Sus scrofa: one gene and its partner. The protein of the gene in region 1 interacts with the protein of each later gene in a pairwise test. Links are inferred from orthologs where the notes say so. Each region holds a gene or a part of one and is shown on either strand. Other genes may lie near its edges. The genes, in order: PTPN11 and TLK1.

Region 1 (10,809 bases):
TCATTTAACTGTTCACTGCCTTCCTTTCCCTACCTATGAGGTTGAGAGGTATCAGTACACTGAATATACAACATTTTAATTACTGAATGCATACAAACTCTAAACCCTAAACCCATGAACCAAAAAGAAGAGTTTTGATCATTAAACAAAACAAAATTCAGAATATTAGTCATTTAGGAGTCAGCTCATCACCTCCCAGAGACTCTGCCAAAACCCATTATCAAAACTAACCATACTCTCTGGAGTTCCTGCTACGGGGAAATGGGTTAAGGATCCTGTGCTGTCTCTGCATCTACACAGGCTCAATCCCCAGCCCAGGAACTTACATATGCCACATATGTGACAAAAAAAAAAATTTTTTTTTAATTCTCTGCATTTGGCTTATTTTTTTTTTCCTCCCAGCAATTACTACTACTGAAATGGTTTTATTTATTCATGTGTTGGTCCATTTTCTCTCCCAACCATTAGAACAGCAATATTTGCCTGTTGTACCAACTGGTTCAGTAACTACTTGTTGAATGAATTCATTCTGGGGTTAAAAATCATTTGAAAAAGAAGACAGTTCCAAGACTAACACTATCTTGGGGAGTTCCCTGGTGGCTCAGCAGGTTAAAGATCCCGTGTTGTCACTGCTTGGGTTTCTGCTATGGCATGAGTTCAATCTTTGCCCCTATAACTTCTACAAGGCCCAGCCTGGACAAAAAAAAAAAAAAAAAAAAAAACTAACACTATCTAGTTTCAAGACTTGTTAGGAGATCCAGTCGTGGCTTAGCAGTTAACAAACCCGACTAGCATCCATAAGGACTCGGGTTAGATCCCTGGCCTCAATCAGTGGGTTAAGGATCCAGCATTGCCCTGAGCTGTGGTGTAGGTCACAGACACGGCTTGGATCCTGCGTTGCTGTGGCTCTGGCATAGGCCAGCGGCTATGGCTCCAATTGGACCCCTAGCCTGGGAACCTCCATATGCCGCAGATGCAGCTCCCCCCCAAAAAAAGACAAGACTTATTATAATGCAATGGTAATCAAGATCATGTGGAAAGACAAGTCAATGGAACAGACTAGAGTCCAGAAATAGACCCACGACCCCCATATAAATGGACAAATGATTTTCAACAAAGGTGCAAGTTCAATAAAAATGGAAAGTCTTTTCAACAAATAGTGCTGGAACAACTGGATACCCATATGCGAAAAAGAGAAGATACATCCACACCTCATGCCACATACAGAAGTTAATTCAAAGTGGACCATAAACCTAAAACTATAAAAATTGTAGGAAACAAGAGAAAACATTTAAGATCTTGGGTTAAGCAGGAGTTCCCATTGTGGCACAGTGGTTAACAAATCCGACTAGGGACTATGAGGTTGCGGGTTCGATCCCTGCCCTTGCTCAGTGGGTTAACAATCCGGCATTGCCGTGAGCTGTGGTGTAGGTCACAGACACGGCTCGGAACCCGCGTTGCTGTGGCTCTGGCATAGGCCAGTGGCTACAGCTCCGTTTGGACCCCTAGCCTGGGAACCTCCATATGCCGCGGGAGCGGCCCAAGAAATAGCTTAAAAAAAAAAAAAAAAAAAAAAAAAGATCTTGGGTTAAGCAAAGATTTCTTAGAAATGTCACCAAAAGCATAATCCTTTTTTTTTAAATGATAAACTGGACGTCATCAAAATTTAAAAAAACCCTGTTTAAAACACCATTTTAAACATGAAAAGACGTCACAGACTAAAAGAAAATATTTGCAATTCTGATCAAAGACTTGTTTCCAGAACAAAAAACTCTCCAATTTCAATAATAAAACAAACAAGTAAATTTTAAAAAGGGAAAATATGGAGTTCCCTTGTGGTACAGCAGGTTAAGGATTTGGTGTTTCCCTGCAGCAGCCCGGGTCACTGCTGTGGTGCAGGTTGGATCCCTGGCCCAGGAACTTCCATGCCGCAGGCACGACTAATAAATAAATAAACAGGTAAAAAGGGAAAATATTTGATCAAATAGACATGTCACCAAAGATGGCACACAAGCACATGAAAAGATGATCAACATTATTAGTCATTGGAGAAAATACAAATTAAAACTACAATGAATAAATATCAAATCATTACACTGTATACCTAAAACCAACAGAATGTTATATGTCAATTACACCTTAATTAAAATATTAAGTGAGTACAATTAAAATTTAATTTTTTTTTTTCTTTTTTGGCCACCCTGAGGCATACTGAGGTCCCAGACCAGGGATCAGATCCAAGCCACAGTTGCAATGCTGGATCCTTAACGCACTGTGCTAGGCCAGGGATCAAACCCACATCCAGGTGCTCCAGAAATGCTGGCTATCCCATTGCACCACAGCAAGAACTCCAAAATTTCAAAATTTTAAAGTGCTAACATGGGAAAAAAAAAAAAAAAAAAAAAAAAACCCACAAGATACGACATACCTTTTAAATGGCTAAAATTTAAAAATGGACCATACCAAGTGTTGTTCAGGATGTGGAGGAACTGTAACTCTAACATACTGTTGGTGGGAATGTACATGTATAAACATTCTGAAAATGTCTGCCAATTTCTGGAAAAGTTTGTGTGTGTGTGTGTGTGTGTGTGTGCGCGCGCGCGCGCGCCTTTTCTAGGGCCTCTCCCACAGCATATGGAGGTTTCCAGGCTAGGGGTCTCATCAGAGCTGTAGCTACCAGCCTACGCCAAAGCCACAGCAACACAGGATGCAAGCCGCACCTGGGACCTATACCACAGCTCACGGTAACGCCAGATCCTTAACCCACTGATCAAGGTCAGGGATCGAACCTGAAACCTCATGGTTCCTACTCAGATTCATTAACCACTGAGCCACAACAGGAACGCCCCTAAAAAAGTTAAATATATATCTACTATGTGAACCAGCCATACCATTGATGGGTATTTTCCAAAGAGGAATGAGGTACACAGCTATACACACAGTTGTACACCAACATTCAGAGCAGCTTTATTTGTGATGGCCAAACTCTGAAACAACCCAAATGTCCAGCAACAGGTAGGTGGATAAATAGATGGCAGTACATCCATACGATGGAATATTACTAATCAATAAAAAGTAATGAACTATTTGACACACACACTATAATATGGTTGAATCTCAACATAATTATGCTGAGCATAAGAAACCATACATCAAAGCCCATTTATACAAAATTCTAGGAAATGCAAACTAATACACAGGGACAGAAAACAGAAGAGTGTTTGTCTGAGAAGGAAGGGATTAGAAAGGGCTTGAGGAGCCATGGCAAGGCGTGATGGATATGTCCATTATCTCAATTATGGTGATGGTTTTACAAGTGTATCTATGTGTCAAAACTTCTCAAACTGTATGCTTAAATATATGCAGTTGGGAGTTCCTGCTATGGCACATCGGTACTGGCAGCGTCTTGGGAGCACTGGGACACAGGTTCCATCCCCAGCCTGACACTGTGGGTTAAGAATCCTGTGTTGCCGCAGCTGCAGCTTAGGTCACAACTTCGACTTGGATGTAATCCCTGGCCCAGGGAACTTCTATATGCCGCAGGGCAGCCAAAAAAGACAAAAAAAAAAAAAAAAAAAAAAAGAAAGAAAGAAAGAAAAACAAATATATGCAATCTATCCTATGTCGTTTATACCTCAATAAAGCTGGTTAAAAATAAAACATCTATCTGAAAAATAAAAATAAATAGTTTCCAATTATGTGTGTTATATTCATAATATGACTTTTAGGTGGCACACATTTCTTTTCCATAACAGGTAAGAGAGGGCTGGAGGAGAGAAGGAATTACTCCATTTCAAGCTGTCATCTTTACCACTTGCTGCTTTGGCTATACCACACTTCCTGGCTTCTAAACTAACAAGCTAGACAATGTAGAGTCTATTACTACCCAGCCCCTATCCCAGCCCCAGCCCCCAATCTTTTTGTCTCCTAAAAGAAGCAGATCCTTACTTGTCTGGAAGAGCAGACACAAGGAACAAAAGGCTCAATGACTATTTGACAGATTAAAGAATAGACAACTGTTTTATTTAAAAGCTCCCTAAAGAATAAGCACATTTGAGGCTATACACTGTTCTGCTGAAATGCAATTATGTATTACCCAGATCTGTAAGCACTTGCCAACAGACCTGTCCAAAGCACTCACTTTCTAAGTTTTCAGTTTTCTTCTTTCTCTTTTCATTCCATGAATGGAAAATATGCAGGTGTTTTTGAGAAAGCATTCCTAATATTTTGAAATCTCTCATTCAAATAACTCTAACAGCTTGAAACAGTTTTTCAAATGTCTGAGACAGTGACCATAACAGGACAATGAAGGAAAGTCTAAACAATGGATCTTATGTTTGAATCGTATATAAAAAGTAGCAATACATAGCAGGATCGTTATCTGAAAACAACAGATCATACTACTGTTTAACAACAAAATTAAGGCTTACAAATGATTGGCAATAGTTATGAAACAATAATAGCAACCTAGTAATTAACAGTGGGGATTCTGGTTCCACTACTTATTGATAGACTGACCTTAGGCAAGTTGCCTAACTTCTGAAACTCAGTTTACTCATCTTTAGAACGGTGATAACACTACCTATCTCATAGGTTGAGAGTAAGGATTAAACGTATCTGGCATACAGTAAGAGCTAAATAAATGTTAGCTATTAATGGTATAACTACACTGAACTTTCAAAGAATCTCAATTCACTACTCTGAGGACTCTTCGGTTCAAATCCTATTACTATCATGTTTCCTCTGAGCCTCAGTTTACACATCCGTAAAACGGGGGTGATTAATGTTACCAGACATTTACGGTTGTGGTGAAGGATTAAATAACTAGAGACAGAGCTCCCTGCCCTCCAATCTCCCAAAGAGAAGATCGCAGAGGAAGGAAATACTTCTAATAGCTGTAGATACAGTCAGTTTTTCCATTTCTGGCACGTGAGTAGTCGGGGGGACGGGATGCAAAAAGGCATGTAAAGGGGTCAGGGATCCTGAGTAAAGCCCCCGAATGCGCGCAAAAAGTAGTGACCCAGAGCCGCTCGATCAACTGGGGCCCGGCCCCGCGCAACTCCCTCCTCTCCCCTCCCGCGTCCCGGACCGAGGAGCCTCCCCAAGTGAGCGGGGTTATTTCGGAATCACCATGAGGCAATTCTCATGAGGCAATGGGTCAGGAATGCGGCGCCGAGCCGGGCCGCTGGCGTCCGCGGTTCCTGGGGCGGCTCTACCTGCCCCTGTCCAGACGGGCATCCCCAGGGCTGCAGGAGCCGGAACTCGGGGAGGCAGGAAATGAATGAGGACGCGAGGGGTGGGGGCGCGGTGGGGCCGGGCCCTGGGGCCCAGGAGGGACAGGGAGTTGGGACAGATCCTGCCCCCGCGACCCCGGGCCGGAGTCCGAAGCCTGGCCCGGCCGCCCCTTCCCAGGCCGGGCAGACCAAACGCGGCGCGGGGGGGGTGCGGGGCTGAGGCCCAGGCTGGGCCCTCGGGGCTCCTCACCTCCGCGATGTCATGTTCCTCCCGCTCTCCGGCTCCGCGACGGACCGGTTCCTTGCTCAGGCTCCACTGAGCCTGGTCACATCGGGCTGGCCCGAGGGAGGCCCGCTCGGGACCGGACGGGGGGCAGTGCCAGCCGGCCGCGCGCAGACCCCCCTCCAGGCCTGGGGATCCCGGGGACTGTGCAGCCGCCCCCCAACCTCGGTTCGCTCCTCCTTCTCCCCCGCCCCTCGGCGCCGGCGCCACCATGACGTCACCCCGCGCGACGCCGGCCGCTACTTCCTGCTTCCAGTCAGCCGGGGCTGATCTGCAACTGGTTATGGCAATTTAGTGGTTCGGCGAAGCAGCTGCCGTGCAGTTCCCAAAGTACCCTCACCTCCTCCTTTAGGCCTTCACAGCGGGGCCTGTGCTGTGCGCTCAAAGTCTCACGCGCTCACAGGAATTGATCGCATCCACTCCCACCGCGTGGATTTCCATTCCTGCGCCGTCAAGTCGAATTTCATTCATTTCATTCTACAAACAGCCGCTTCGCTCCAGATATGTAACCTTGGGAAAACTGCTTGATTTCTCTGAGGCTGTTTCCTCCATTCCTTCATTTCTGTACAACGAGAATTGTATTTTCTTCTTAGGTTTATGGGGAGAATTAAAAATGTAAAATGTTTAGAACGAGGCCTGGCCTATTAAGTGCTTTATTGGAAGTAAACATGCAAGTGTTTTCTATCTGCTAGGCTCTATTTTTGACTATGGGGATGAAAAGACAAAAATCCCGGTGTTCTTGTGATAGGAGCCATAGTAATCAAGAGAAATACTCCCATCCTCATTTCCCTTCTTTTCTCCATAGCCGTTTATGTTATTTTAAAGGATAACGTTATCACTAAGGATAACGTTTGAGTAAAGATCTGATGTAGAAATAGACAGAATAATTTAGGGGAAGAGCATTTCAAGCACAGGGAGAGGCCATTGCAAAGGGCCTGAGGCAGGAGGCAGGAGGGAAAATGAAGAAATCTCTGCCTGGAGCACAGTAGGAGGTGGGAAGGGTATAGGAAATATAAGGAGAGTAGTAGGAAATGATAACACTCCCTATAAATGAAAGTCCAGGACCAGATGGATTCACAGGTGAATTCTACCAAACATACAAAGAGGAACTTATACCCATCCTTAAACTTTTCCAAAAGTTTGAAGAAGGAACACTCCCAAAGACATTCTATGATGCCACCATCATCCTAATACCAAAACCAGACAAAGATGTTAACAAAAAAGAAAACTATAGGCCAATATCTTTGATGAATACAGACCCCAAAATTTTCAACAAAATTTTAGCCAACTGCATCCAAAAACATAAAAAAGATTATACACCATGACCAAGTGGGATTCATCCCAGGATCACAAGGATGGTTCAACATATGCAAATCAATCAATGTCGTACACCACATCAACAAAAGAAAAGTCAAAAACCACACGATCGAACTATGTATAGATACTCATATTGCAACAGAACAAAGGGTGGGGGAAAAAATGTATACATGTAAGGATAACTTGATCCCCTTGCTGTATGGTGGGAAAAAAAAAAAACCACACGATCATCTCAATAGATGCAGAAAAAGCATTTGACAAAATTCAACACCCATTCATGATAAAAACTCTTATCAAAGTGAGTGTAGAGGGAATATACCTTAACATAATAATAAGCCATTTATGACAAATCTACAGCAAATATAATACCCAATGGAGAAAAGCTGAAAGCCTTCCCACTGAAATCGGGAACAAGACAAGGATGCCCACTCGCACCACTTTTATTCAACATAGTATTGGAAGTACTAGACAAAGCAATAAGACAAAAGAAATAAAAGGTGTCCAAATTGGGAGAGAAGAGGTAAAATTGTCACTGTATGCAGATGATGACATGATACTATACATAGAAAACCCTAAGGACTCAACCCAAAAACGACTCGAACTGATCAACAAATTCAGCAAATAGCAGAATATAAGATTAACATTCAGAGGAGTTCCCATCATGGCTCAGTGGTTAACGAATCTGACTAAGAACCATGAGGTTGCGGGTTCTAATCCCTGGCCTTGCTGAGTGGGTTAAGGATCTGGCGTTGCTGTGAGCTGTGGTGTAGTTTACAGATGCAGCTCGAATCCCACGTTGCTGTGGCCATGGCGTAGGCCAGCAGCTATAGCTCCGATTGGACCCCTAGTCTGGGAACCTCCATATGCCTCGGGTGCAGCCCTGGAAAAGGCAAAAAAAAAGAAAAAAAAAAGATTAACATTCAGAAATCAGTTGCAGTTCTGTATACTAACAAAGAAATATTAGAAAAGGAATATAAGGGAGTTCCCATTGTGGTGCAGCAGAAACGAATCCAACTAGGAACCATGAGGTTGCGGGTATGACACCTGGCCTTGCTCAGTGGGTTAAGGATCTGGTGTTGCCATGAGCTGTGGTGTAGGTTGCAGACACCGCTAGGACCCCGCATTGCTGTGGCTATGGCTGTGGTGAGGGCCAGTAGCTGCAGCTCTGATTCAAACCTTAGCCCGGGAACTTCCATGTGCTGCAGGTGCACCCCTAAGAAGCGGGGGAAAAAAAGTATTACTTTGGTACTTTGATTAAGTGAATCAAGAGGGCAAGGCTAGAAATAGAGACCAGTTCAGAATATTAAAATACTGTAATTCCAGGCTAGAGATGATAGCAGCTTAGACCGCAGTGAGAAGACAGAGTTTTTATCTGATGAATGCCTGTGTGGCTCATTAATGGCCACAGATCTAGTTAGTGGCAGTGCCAGAATTCAAACTCACATCATCCAAAATCCTCATTTTTTCCTTCCACTGCTAGTCATCTCACTCTAATACAAAGAACTGTCATAAAATGTGCTAACTGCTTCAGCCTCAATGTTACCCAAAAACCCTTATAAAAATCACCTTTAATATATGCCAGTTGGATGTAGGTTGCAGGCATTCAACAAACAGTTGCCCAGCCTGTTTCTTTCCATTCGCCTAAATCCTGGCTGCCCAAATGACTCAAACAACATTCTGACTGATCTCAGACCTGCAGGTTTGCCCTTTCCACTCCATTCACCATGTAACAGCCACAGTAATCTAAAACAAAAAACTAGTCACTCCTTAAATTCAACATTTCAATGGCTTCTCTTTACTTTTAGGATACGATCAAAAAAAATTTTATGGGAGTTACCCTCATAGCATCCATGAGGACAAGGGTTCGATCCCTGGCCTCACCCAGTGGGTTAAGGATCCAATGTTGCTGTGAGCGTGGTCTGTAGGTCACAGATGCCACTTGGATCCCAGGATGCCGTGGCTCTGACGTAGGCCAGAGGCTATAGCTCTGATTGGACCCCTAGCCTGGGAACCTCCATGTGCCGTGGGTTCAGCCCAAAAAAGACCAAAAATAAATTTTTTTTTACACAGTTCCTACTGTTGTACAGTGGGCTAAGAATCTGACTGCAGTGACTCAGGTTGTTGAGGAGTCTCAGGTTTGATCCCCACAGGATCCAGCATTGCCACATCTGCTGCCTGGGTCAAAGTTATGACTCAGATTCAATCCCTGGCCAGGGAACTTGCATGCGCCCTGGGTGGGACCATTAAAAAATAATGATCAGGAGTTCCCGTCATGGCACAGTGGAAACAAATCCGAGTAGGAACCATGAGGTTGCAGGTTTGATCCCTGGCCCTGCTCAGTGGGTTAAGGATCTGGCATTGCCATGAGCTGTGATGTAGGTCACAGATGCAGCTCGGATCCTGCATTGCTGTAGCTGTGGTGTAGGCCGGCAGCTGTAGCTCTGATCAGACCCCTAGCCTGGGAACCTCCATATGTCGCAGGTACGGCCTAAAAAAAGCAAAAAAAAAAAAAATTCATAACTACCTGTTCTGGTCCCTGCTCACTTAACCAGCTGCTCCCCTCCCCAAGCATTCTGTGACCCAGCCATACTGAATAACTTCCATTTCCCCTCAATTGTTCTCTCCCAGCTCAGAGCCTTTAAACAATCTTCTCCCTGTTCCTGGATGATTCTGACCTCCCTCCCTGTGAACTCTGATCTCAGGCTGGAAGTCATCTCCTCTAGAATAAGAAGAATCACCTGGAGCTCCCATCGTGGCTCAGCGGTTAACAAACCTGACTAGGATCCATGAAGATGCAGGTTCAATCCCTGGCCTTCCTCAGTGGGTTAAGCATCCAGCGTTGGCATGAGCTGTGGTGTAGGTTGCAGATGTGGCTCAGATCTGGCATTGCTGTGGCTGTGGCGTAGGCCACCAGCTACAGCTCCCATGCTCCAGTTTGACCCTAGCCTGGGAACCTCCACATACCACAGGTGCCCCCCACCCCTGCCACCAAAAAAAAAAGGAAGAAAGAAAATGCTTCCATTAACACATCAGGCCCTTCTAAACATGAACTATGCCTACCTGGTCAGTTTCATTTACCTCTACTCCCTCACATATGCCTCTGGCTGTTTCTTGTATCCCTATCTACCAAATGCCTCTGGCTGTTTCTTGTATCCCTGTCTACCAAAATTTAGTTATTTTTGTCTGAAATACCTTTTCAAATGGTCTCCATCTAAAAAACCAAGCATCCTGCAAGATTCCACTTCAACTCAATAAGCTTCTCCAGGAAACATGCACAGCACAAAACTCTTGACTACTTAGAATAAAGCAGAGGCTTTGGAGTCTCTCCCTATGATTTGGGAGCTGCATGTTTATGCTTCTTTTGGCCCCTAACACAGTTCAGTGTCATTGTTGGTTGACTTCTCTGTCTCTTCCCCTAGATTAGGAGCTCCTCTTAAACTCATTGCCTTCTGCATCTTCATATGCCCAGAGCCTAACACAGGGCCTGGCATATAATAAGCTTAAGAAATAGTCATTTAGATATACTTTATTTTAATTTCTTTCTCAACAACAAAAACAATACAAGCTCCTTGTAACAGGCCAAATAAAAATAGTAATTTTCCCTGCTTCACAATGTATACAACCTCCCTACCCCAACCCCCATCAGCATTAACTTGGTGTCAGAGTTCTTGTGGTGGCGCAGCAGTAACGAACCTGACTAGTATCCATGAGTATGGATATGCCACAGGTGGGCCCTAAAAAGAAAAAAAAAATTTGGTGTCAATCCTTCCACACTTTTCTCTATACCTATATGAACACACACATATATTACACATCCTGCTCATTCACACACATAACATATATGGGAAGTTTTTTTTTCTGGCCACACTCAAGGCATGTGGAAGTTCCCAAGCTAGGGATGGAACCCCCACAGAAATTGTGGCCTATGGCATAGTGGCAGCAACTCCAGATTCTTTTTTTTTTTTTTTTTTTTTT
Region 2 (10,308 bases), on another chromosome or scaffold:
TTTTTTTTAATGTAAACTTTATAAAAAGAAACAGCAAAAGGTGTACTTAATATGTGAGTAAAAGGTGAAGCAGTAGTACTCACCCCTTGCTGCTGATTAGAATCATCAGATGGAAAGGGTGGGAGGCACTTCATACAAGTACTGATGCCTAAACTCCACCCAGAAGGATTCTGATTAAATTGATGCGATACAGGGCTTGGGCACTGGTAGTTTTTAAAGCTCCTCCACATCATTCTAATTTAAGGCAGCACTGAGAACCATTGGTATAGAAACTCAGTGAAACCATCATCTGTGATCTTACAGTACCTTTGAAGCATCCAGTGTGCGTTTCCTTAGCCCATCCCAGGACACTCTCACATCCCTTTACCATTAACCACTTTTCTGAGTTTTGTATTTATTTCTTAGCCTTTGTGTTTCTTTATAGTTACATTACATATATCTTATACATTCTTAATGACATTATTTCACTTTGGTTTTGAACTTTATATAAATTAAAAAAAAATTTTTTTATTACTCAATGAATTTACTGTATTTATGGTCACGCAATGATCATCACAATCCAGTTTTATAGGATTTCCATTCCACAACCCCAGCGCATCCCCCTGAAGTTTATATAACACTCTATGTACTCTTTTCCCTGTTTGTTTTCACTAAACATTCTATGTGGAATTGTCATGTATTCATTTCACTACTATATAGTAAGACATTATATGAGTGTACTGTAATTTATCTTTTCTGCTCTTGGTGGACATTTTATTTCTACTTTTTGCTAATATGAACAATTCTGCTAGGAACATTTTTGTACATGCCTTCTATAGCAGACGTGGAAAAAATTCTCTACGGTCTATGCTTAGGAGAGATGTGGCCAGAGTACAAGGCATGCATATCCTCAGCTCTATTTTATTTTATTTTATTTATTTATTTATTTATTTATTTATTTTTATTTTTTTTGTCTTTTTGCTATTTCTTTGGGCCGCTTCCGCGGCATATGGAGGTTCCCAGCCTAGGGGTCTAATCGGAGCTGTAGCCACCGGCCTACGCCAGAGCCACAGCAACGCAGGATCCGAGCCGCGTCTGCAACCTACACCACAGCTCACAGCTCACGGCAATGCCGGATCGTTAACCCACTGAGCAAGGGCAGGGACCGAACCTGCAACCTCATGTTCCTAGTCGGATTCGTTAACCACTGCGCCACGACGGGAACTCCATCTATTTTATTTTTGTCTTTTTAGGGCCTCACCCATAGCATATGGAAGTTCCCAGGCTAGTGGTCGAATCGGAGCTGTAGCCGCTGGCCTACATCACAGCCACAGCAGCACAGGATCCGAGCCGCATGTGCATGTGTGACCTCCACCACAGCTCATGGTGATACCAGGTCCTTAACCCACTGAGCGAGGCCAGGTATCGAACCTGCGTCCTCATGGACGCTAGTCAGATTTATTTCTGCTGCCTCAGCTCTACTTTATAATGGCAAATTTTTTCCCAAGGTGGTTGGATCATTTTACACTCTACCAGCAATGGGCAAGAAATAATCTTATTGCTCATTATCCTTGCCACAGATCAAAGGTATACCAAAAGAATTAAATGTTTTATTCCTGAAGATCATAAAAGATGTTCCATGTTTTAATAGTTTTATAGTCTGATTTTTCAATATGAATTGTTAATCTCACTGGAATTCATTTTTGAGTGTGTTGTGAAGTAGTTTCATTTTAATTTCTTTCTATAGAGATAACCAGTCGCCCAGACTATGTAATTACCAGTCTACTCTTTACCACCTGCTCCATCATATAATCTCATTTTCTTTATACAAGTGGATCTATTTCTGTGTTCTGTGCTAAGTTCCATGTTCTGTTTGTGTATTCCAATACTAGTACCACAGCATCATTTTATCATTTAGCAGTTGTCTTTGGCTATTAGTAACAGAGAACATAAACAACAGTACTTTAAATGAGATAAAATATTATTTTTTGAGGGAAGAATAGAAAGGTGTGCTGGCTCCACAGTGTCATTGGATCTTGGCTCCTTCAGTTTTTCAGCTCCCTCATCCTTAGCACATGGTATTCATCTTGAAGGTCATTTCAAGGTAAAATATTTATTATAGTCACAATTATGGTATCTGTGTTCATAAGCAGAAAACAAAAAGAGGAAGGAAATAACAAGTGCAACAATTCTGTGTACAGTCTTCTTAGGTATTCCATTGAACAATTTCTGCCTACATTTCACTGACCAGTGTTAGCTGCAAGGGATCCTGGGAAACAGTCTTTTAGTTATTTACATATTAATCCAGAATAAAATATAAAATTTTCCTTTTTTTCTTTTTTGGTTGCACCCACAACATATGGAAGTTTCTGGGCCAGAGATTGAATCCATGCCACAGCAGTGACAATGCCAGATCCTTAACACACTAGGCCACCAAGGAACTCATTGTTTTCCATTATTAAAGAAGAAAGAGAGAATATACTTCAGTGATTGTAATTACTATAGGTTTCTTTTAAATATTGGTGTGTGGTTGAACAAGTATCTTCTTCTTTTTGGGTATTTTTGGCCCTTTGCACAAGTCTTGGAGAAATGTTCAAGTCATTTTTCAAGTCATGGATGTGTACAGACAAACACAGTTGGAGTTTTGTTTGAATTGCACATAATGATGAGGGTCTGTTGCTGAATTCCATTTTTTTTTTTTTTTTTTTTTGTCTTTTGTCTTTTGTTGTTGTTGTTGCTATTTCTTGGGCCGCTCCCGCGGCATATGGAGGTTCCCAGGCTAGGGGTTGAATCGGAGCTGTAGCCACCAGCCTACGCCAGAGCCACAGCAACGCGGGATCCGAGCCGCGTCTGCAACCTACACCACAGCTCAGGGCAACGCCGGATCGTTAACCCACTGAGCAGGGGCAGGGACCGAACCCGCAACCTCATGGTTCCTAGTCGGATTCGTTAACCACTGCGCCACGACGGGAACTCCTGAATTCCATTTTTGTTCCTCTGAAAGCATCTTTATTTTACCCTTTCTGTGAAAAAGTTTTATTAAATATATGCTTTTCGGTTGGCAGCTGTATTTTGTCCCAGCATTTTCAGCTTATTATACCACTGTCTTTTTGCTTCCAGCATGATTGGGCTAGACCTATGGTTTTCAAAGAATGACCCCCAGATCAGAAGCATCGGCATTACTGGACAGCTTTTTAGAAATAAACTTCAGACCCTCCTCCAGGCCTCCTAACTCAGACTCTGGAAATGGGTCCAAGCAAGCTGTGTTTCAACTAGTTCTCTAGGTTATTTTCTGGACTGAACTGTACTAGACTAATCAAACTTCTGAGCTAAGAGAGAAACCCCTTCCCTGAGCATATGGCTGCCTACAAAGCCAACAAAGTCGGTATTCATATGGCTGAGAAAGATGACGAGAATAGTTAGCTATTGAATAGGCATCTGCAGTGTCATCCACAAGTTTAACGGAGAAAAAAGTTTTATTAGTTACAAATGATGGAAGAGAACTCATTTTTAAGTGTTGAACACTTTTAATATGTGTTAGTTATTTTTAACTAATTGAGATAGATGGTATTGCTCTCTTTTAGAAATAAGAAAACTAAACTAAGGTTCAGATGACTTACTTAACTCAGCCAAGATTGTATACTGGAGAGTGGATTTGAACCCATGGAGTATGGGTACAAATTCCATGTACTTTCCACTACACAATTAAGCAGCATATGACAGTCTTATCCCATGGTAAGTAGATGTTTTAACAGATTGTTTTAGTTTCATACTCAAGTACTTAATCTTATTAATCCTTCTCTTTATGTAATTTGTTGAAAATGTACAAATATTCATAAGTGTCTCATATACAAAAATTCTAGCCCTTTTCTCATTGTCTGCTTGTAGGCTAACTGTGATCTCAGACGGCAGATAGATGAACAACAAAAATTACTTGAAAAATACAAAGAACGATTAAATAAATGTATATCAATGAGCAAGAAACTGCTTATTGAAAAGGTAAGTTAAAAGCTTAATAAAATTTCTGTTTCCTTTCACCAGTCCCTTTCACCGTGTATGCTTTTAAAATTTAAATTAATAAAATTGAATGATGATTTTCCCCCCTTTTTTCAGAGTACACAAGAAAAATTGTCAAGCCGAGAGAAGAGTATGCAAGACCGATTACGCCTTGGGCATTTTACAACAGTTAGACATGGTGCTTCATTTACTGAACAATGGACAGATGGTTTTGCATTTCAGAATCTCGTAAAGTTAGTCATTCTTAAATATTTCAAAAAATTTAGCATTCCTTTGGGTTTTCATTACTTTTAAAGATTATAGGTTTGGAATTATGTCCTGCTTCTTAACTACTCTTGGAAATCATAGAATTTAGTGCCTTAAAACAGAAATGTTATAATTTTAGCTTTAGCAGACTTTTCGATTGGTTAACATTCATCCATATAGTAACATATTCAACCGTATAGTATGATGTACATGCGGCTTTTGAAATTCTGAGGTGAACTTTAAAATGGAGAAATCATTAGCATGTTTTCTTGAGTATACATGGTGGCAGGTAAGAATTGGGTGACTGCTTATGTGTTAAGGAGCTGGGATCTATGCTCTTCCCTTTTTTTTTGCTGGAAAACTTTTAGAAACCTGAAAAGCAAGAGTAGTACCAACATTTAAATCAGCCTTATCAGAGTCAGTCCAGTTAAATGGAAAATGGAGGCAAAGCTTATTTCATACAGTATCACAAAAAAATTGCTGTCTCAAACCCTGGGCTCCAGTCCTTAACACAGAATGGCCTTCTATCTCCATTGATTTATTCAGCTTTTGTTCCACACACTGTACTGGGTATACTATAATGAAGCACAGTGTCTTTGTGATGGTAGGAAATGGGATTTTTTTTTTGCCCTTTAGGGCCACACCTGGATTATATGGAGGTTCCCATAGTAGGGGTCGAATCTAGCCACAGGTGCCAGCCTACGCCACAGCCACAGCAACACAGGATCTGAGCTGCATCTTCAGCCTACACCACAGCTCACGGCAACGCCAGATCCTTAACCCACTAAGCGAGGCCAGGGATTGAACCTGCAACCTCATGGTTCCTAGCTGGATTCATTTACTGCTGTGCCATAACAGGAACTCCAGAAATTTTTGGATTTTAATTATGTGGATAATGGGGAACTGTTAAAGTTTTGTATATAATGAATGAGGTCAGAATTGAGTTTTTTAAAATATAACTTTAAAAAGATGGTAATGTGAGGATAATGTAATAAATTGTTGACAGTTCAGATGGAGAAGCATCCGAATGAAAGATGGTTAGGCTTGAGCTAAACTATTAATAGTAAAAGTAGAGAGTAGGAGATACAGTTGAGACGGAACTTAAAAATTTTGAGTGTTTTATGAGCTGCAAAACCCAGACCTACAGTTGTCCTGGTAATGTTTAAAAGAGAAAACTACATAATATAACTCTAAATATAAATCTTAAGTATAAACTCTGCTAGTTAGAATTTCTCCATTAAGCTGTCAAAAAAAAAAGAATAAAATTGGGAATTCCCATTGTGGTTCAGTGGGTTAAGAACCCAGCTAGTACCCATGAGGACACGGGTTCTATCCTTGGCCTCTCTCAGTGGTTTAAGGATCTGGCATTGCTGTGAAGACCTGGCTTGGCTTTGGCTGTGACTGGCTGGCACCTACAGCTCCTATTTGACCCCTAACCTGGGAACTTCCATATGCCACGGGTGTGGCCTTAAAAAGGCAAACAAACAAAAAGCAAGTATTTATTGAATGCCTAGCATGCACCAGTCACTGTGCTGGGCACTTGGGATACAATGAGTATAAAATAGTTGTGATCTCTATTTTTATGGATTGGTGTAGCCTAACCAGACACATTCTGATCAAGTGTCTCTAGGAATACTTGCTGAAAAGAATAGTGGTAAGCTGCAAGGTACCGTGACATTATATATGGCCACACATCTTTCCCTAGTCCAGGGGGTTTAGGGAAGACCTCATTTAGAAATGAATGTTTCAAATGAGACCTGGACAATGAGAACAAGTTGGTTCACCAGGTAGACCATAAGGTTACAAATTTGTATTATATCATTTTTAAGGTTTACTAATGTGTTTTCATGTTTTAAAAGTAATGGAAGGTTAATATTGTTATTACATTTATTTTTTTATGCAGGCAACAAGAATGGGTGAATCAGCAAAGGGAAGATATTGAAAGGCAAAGGAAACTTCTAGCCAAACGCAAACCTCCCACAGCTAATAATTCTCAGGCACCCTCTACCAATTCTGAACCAAAACAAAGGAAAAATAAAGCAGTCAATGGAGCAGAAAATGATCCTTTTGTTAGACCAAATTTACCACAATTGTAAGCCTGCCTTTTTAATTTTCTTTTTTTTTAAATCATTGCCAGTGAGCATGAATGTTAGTAATGGATAGTAATTTTATGGCTAAGAAGGAAGGCAGTATTGAAAAGATCTACCTCTAGATTACTGATAAGCCCTAAATACCTGTGTTCTACCTTAGTAAGTGGAAATTTACTAATCCGCTTTTAAAATGGAATCTTAGGTAGCTAAGAGGAGGCTGGAACCCACTCTTTATTCCAGGTCGGAATGATAGAGCTAGTTATCCATTTTGATTATTCCAATTCAGTGTTCCTATTAATGTTCCTTTTTCTAAGAGAATGTTGAGTAATGTAACTGACATATTTTCTCAACCTATGAAAGCAGCACATTTGGAGGTTGTAGGTATTACTTTTTTCCCTTTTCTGCTTTCCTTTGTTCTCTAGGTTATCTGATTTAATAATGAATCACTCTTTATAATTCAAAAGACAATGCCATTTTTAAAAAGTATATATGCTTACTGTAGAAAGTTTGGAAAATATGAAAGAGCATGATAAAACAGTGTAGACTATGACCCAATCCCACAGAGAATACTATTGTTAAAATTTAAGTGTACAGGAGTTCCTTGGTGGCTCAATGGGTTAAGAATCCAGCTTTGTCACTGCTGTGGTGCGGGTTTGATCCCTGACTTGGAAACTTTTGCATGCTACCAGCATGGCTAAACAAAATTTTTTGGAGTTCCCATTGTGGCGCAGCAGAAACGAATCCAACCAGAAACCATGAGGTTGTGGGTTCAATCCCTAGCCTTGCTCAGTGGGTTAAGGATCCGGTGTTGCCATGAGTTGTAGTGTAGGTTGCAGAAGAGGCTTGGATCCAGCATTGCTGTGGCTGTGGTGTAGGCCGGCTGCTGTAGCTCCACTTTGACCCCAGCCCAGGAACCTCCATGTGCCGCAAGTGCAGCCCTAAAAAGCAAACAAACAAACAAAAATTTCATTGTACAGATGCAACCTAAAATATATAATTTTTCCATTCTGTAAGACTTTGTGTAAGTTTATGAATAGAAAATACATACCCACACCTTCTGCTTGTATTTTACATGTTTCTCTTTTGTCGAGAGAGAATGTTTTATCTATGATTTGAATCCCATCACCTGCTACATCAGGGATCTCCTGTTGATACTTCCTTTATCTTACATCTTGAACCCTTTGATCTCTACTTGTTCCTTCCTTTTAGGAAACAAAACAAAACATCTCTTACATAATTTTAAATCTCTCTAGTCTCCATATTCTGTCATCTTTATAACTAGATTTCCTGAGAGATTTGCTTGTGCTTCCAGTCTTTTCTGCTTCACTTGCCATTCTCTTTTCTTAACTGAAATTGTTCTTTTAAAGATTGTATCCTTGATCTAAATACTATAACCAGTTTTTACCTTAGCAGCATTGGATATTGTTTACTTTTTTTTTCCCTCAAAAGACTCTTTAGACCTAGTTTTTGAAATAAGCTTGTTTTCCTAATTTTCATTTTAACTTATCTGGCGCGGTCCTTTCATTCTCTTCTATAGACATCATTTACTGTAGCAGTTTGTAAAATGTAGAGCTTTTAAGACTTTGTCCTAGGCCATCTTACCTCTTACTCTATGTATTCTCCTTGAGTATTAGCTACTCCTAGGGTTTCAGTTACCTTGTTTATGCTGTTGCCTCCAAATTTCTGTTTCCAGCCTTCTTTTCTCTCTTGAGTATCAACTGTTTGTATTTTAGTCTTTAATGTCATCTCATTGCTTAGTTGATATTGGTATTTAAGTGCCTCACAGGGCCTCTAATATAGCCTATTCAAAAGTGTATTTACTAAACACAGAAAATTAAACTATACTTATTAACTATTTAAGTCTCTCTCCATACCCTCCCCCACATTGCCTTCTCCTGTGTTTTCTTTGTTAATAAATGGTACTATCATTTTTTCGGTTCCTCATGCCAGAATTCTGGTTGTCACCCTTAGCTTTTTAGATCCAGATTCCATTTATTTTTCTTACTCTATTTTCATTTTTTTTTTCACTAATAGGTGGTAATAATCTTATATTTTAAAGTCTAGTTTCAGTCCTCGGTCTAGGACCTTCCGCATGCTGTTGGTACAACCAAAAAGGGGGAAAAGACTAAAATCTACTAATATACTTCTTCATGCCTTTCCTAAATTTTTTTGGGGGGAGGGGGGACTATTTTAAGTTAGAATTAAATCATTTCACTATTGATTTAAAAAAACTTAATGAGTTACTTTTCATAAATCAGTAAATTTATTGCTTTAAAAAGGTGGATGGAGGGAGTTCCCATTGTGGCTCAGCAGGTTAAGAGCCCAACACAGTGTCTATGAGGATGTGGGTTCAATCCCTGGCCTCACTCAGTAGGTTAAGGATTCGGCTTTTCTACAAGCTTTGCGGTAGGCCAGCAACTGCAGCCGTAAAAAAAGGAACTGAGCTGTAAAAAAGGAAAAAAAAAAAGTTGGATGGATAGATGAGCTGTTATATAGAAGAAATTGTATGTTAGCTTCAACTCCATCCCCAGACACCCAATCTTCAGGAGCTCAAATGTGTCCACTGTTATCTCTCATTTGGGTTATCTCTTCTCACCCCCACCACCCCCCTCATTTTTCAGCTTTATTCTAGTCCTCCAATCCATTTTCATCTTGCAGAGTCTTTTTTCCCAAATAAAAATGTGATTTTATTTTTCTTCCTTTTAAACGTAACACAGCTCTCCATCGTTTGAAGGACATAATCCAAAAGTCTTAAAAAGCTTATAAAGCATTTTTGATCTGGTAGCTTCTGACCTCTCTAGCCTCATCTTTTATTGCTGATAAAAGGCACTGGTGAGTGCCTCCTACTCGCCACCAACTTTTAAACTCCAACCCGTTGTCTTAATTTCTGTTCACCTTTTAAATCCCATACTAGGTATTTCCTCCTCATGAAAGTTTTTCTTTGACCCTCAAAGGATAAGAATTAGTTTTCACTTGGAGGTATTGCCATAGTGCCTTCTTTGTCTTCTGTCACACCATCATCATTCATTCAGTTAATCATGCTAGAAACGTCCTAGATGTTTGTCTTTTCCGTGTTCTCTGTGTCTATTCCCAACAGTTTTGTATCTGTCCATCTTCATTGCCACTGTCTTGCTGTAGGACTGCACCCCCCCCTTAACTTAGATTACTGTTACTTACGTGTCTCATCATGTCACTTTCATGTTTAACCTCATTCACCGGCCTGAAGGTAAAATTCTCTCTCGTGAAGATGCTGTATAGCCTTCTTATTTCTCTCACTCTCCAATGTCTGCCCTATTATCCTATGTTAAACTCTTTCAGTTCTCTAAATGGATTGTGCCGTTTTGTTTCTGTGCCTTTGTACATCATGTTCCTTGCCTTTCTTTACCTCTCTCATTTCCTTCTCCTCCTCTAAGGTTTGCTTCAAATGCCAATTTCAATAGGAAATCCTCTTTGTCCTTTTTTCTTTCCAGTTGTTCTGCTTTCCCCTCAAGTTAGGTGCCCATAGCCATTTATACATGTCTATCAATATTATAGCATTTATCTTACCATTTTATCTCTATACTCTCAATATCTAGTACAGTTCCTGGCATATGGAAAGTGGTCAATAAATACTAAATTATAGTACATAAGCATTTGATTGAATTTCATTTTCTCCTCTGTAGACTATTTTTCTAATTTGTCACGGTTATTGTGCTTCCCACTTGTCTTCCAAGATGCTAACAGCCCTAACTGTAGTTTATTAATCTAAGATTGTCTCATTCCTATCTCATTTTATTGCATTTTTTGACTTCTTACTAACCCTGAATTTACACTGCTATGTGTTTTTGGAGTCACAAATGAAGAGATAACTATATAGCAGTTGGACTACATCCCTGTACAGTGCAGATTTAAATAGGGAAAGAAGCCACAGTAACACTTTGATTGATATATATTATTTTGATTTTACTCTGCAGCTGTCTTATGCTTTTGAATCACT

The links.
Region 2: the proteins of PTPN11 (region 1) and TLK1 interact in binary tests that used the Homo sapiens proteins (3 or more experiments, as listed by UniProt). The link is inferred for Sus scrofa from reciprocal best matches to the Homo sapiens genes PTPN11 and TLK1.

Annotation. Positions count from the first base shown.
Region 1 is NC_010456.5:39,286,320-39,297,128, forward strand, and holds the start of PTPN11 (tyrosine-protein phosphatase non-receptor type 11), read right to left. Parts: upstream 5,721-10,809; 5' UTR 5,499-5,720; coding exon 5,485-5,498; intron 1-5,484. UniProt on the Homo sapiens protein: Acts downstream of various receptor and cytoplasmic protein tyrosine kinases to participate in the signal transduction from the cell surface to the nucleus. Positively regulates MAPK signal transduction pathway. Dephosphorylates GAB1, ARHGAP35 and EGFR.
Region 2 is NC_010457.5:77,215,123-77,225,430, reverse strand, and holds part of TLK1 (serine/threonine-protein kinase tousled-like 1), read left to right. Parts: intron 1-3,867; coding exon 3,868-3,978; intron 3,979-4,092; coding exon 4,093-4,229; intron 4,230-6,145; coding exon 6,146-6,334; intron 6,335-10,308. UniProt on the Homo sapiens protein: Rapidly and transiently inhibited by phosphorylation following the generation of DNA double-stranded breaks during S-phase. This is cell cycle checkpoint and ATM-pathway dependent and appears to regulate processes involved in chromatin assembly.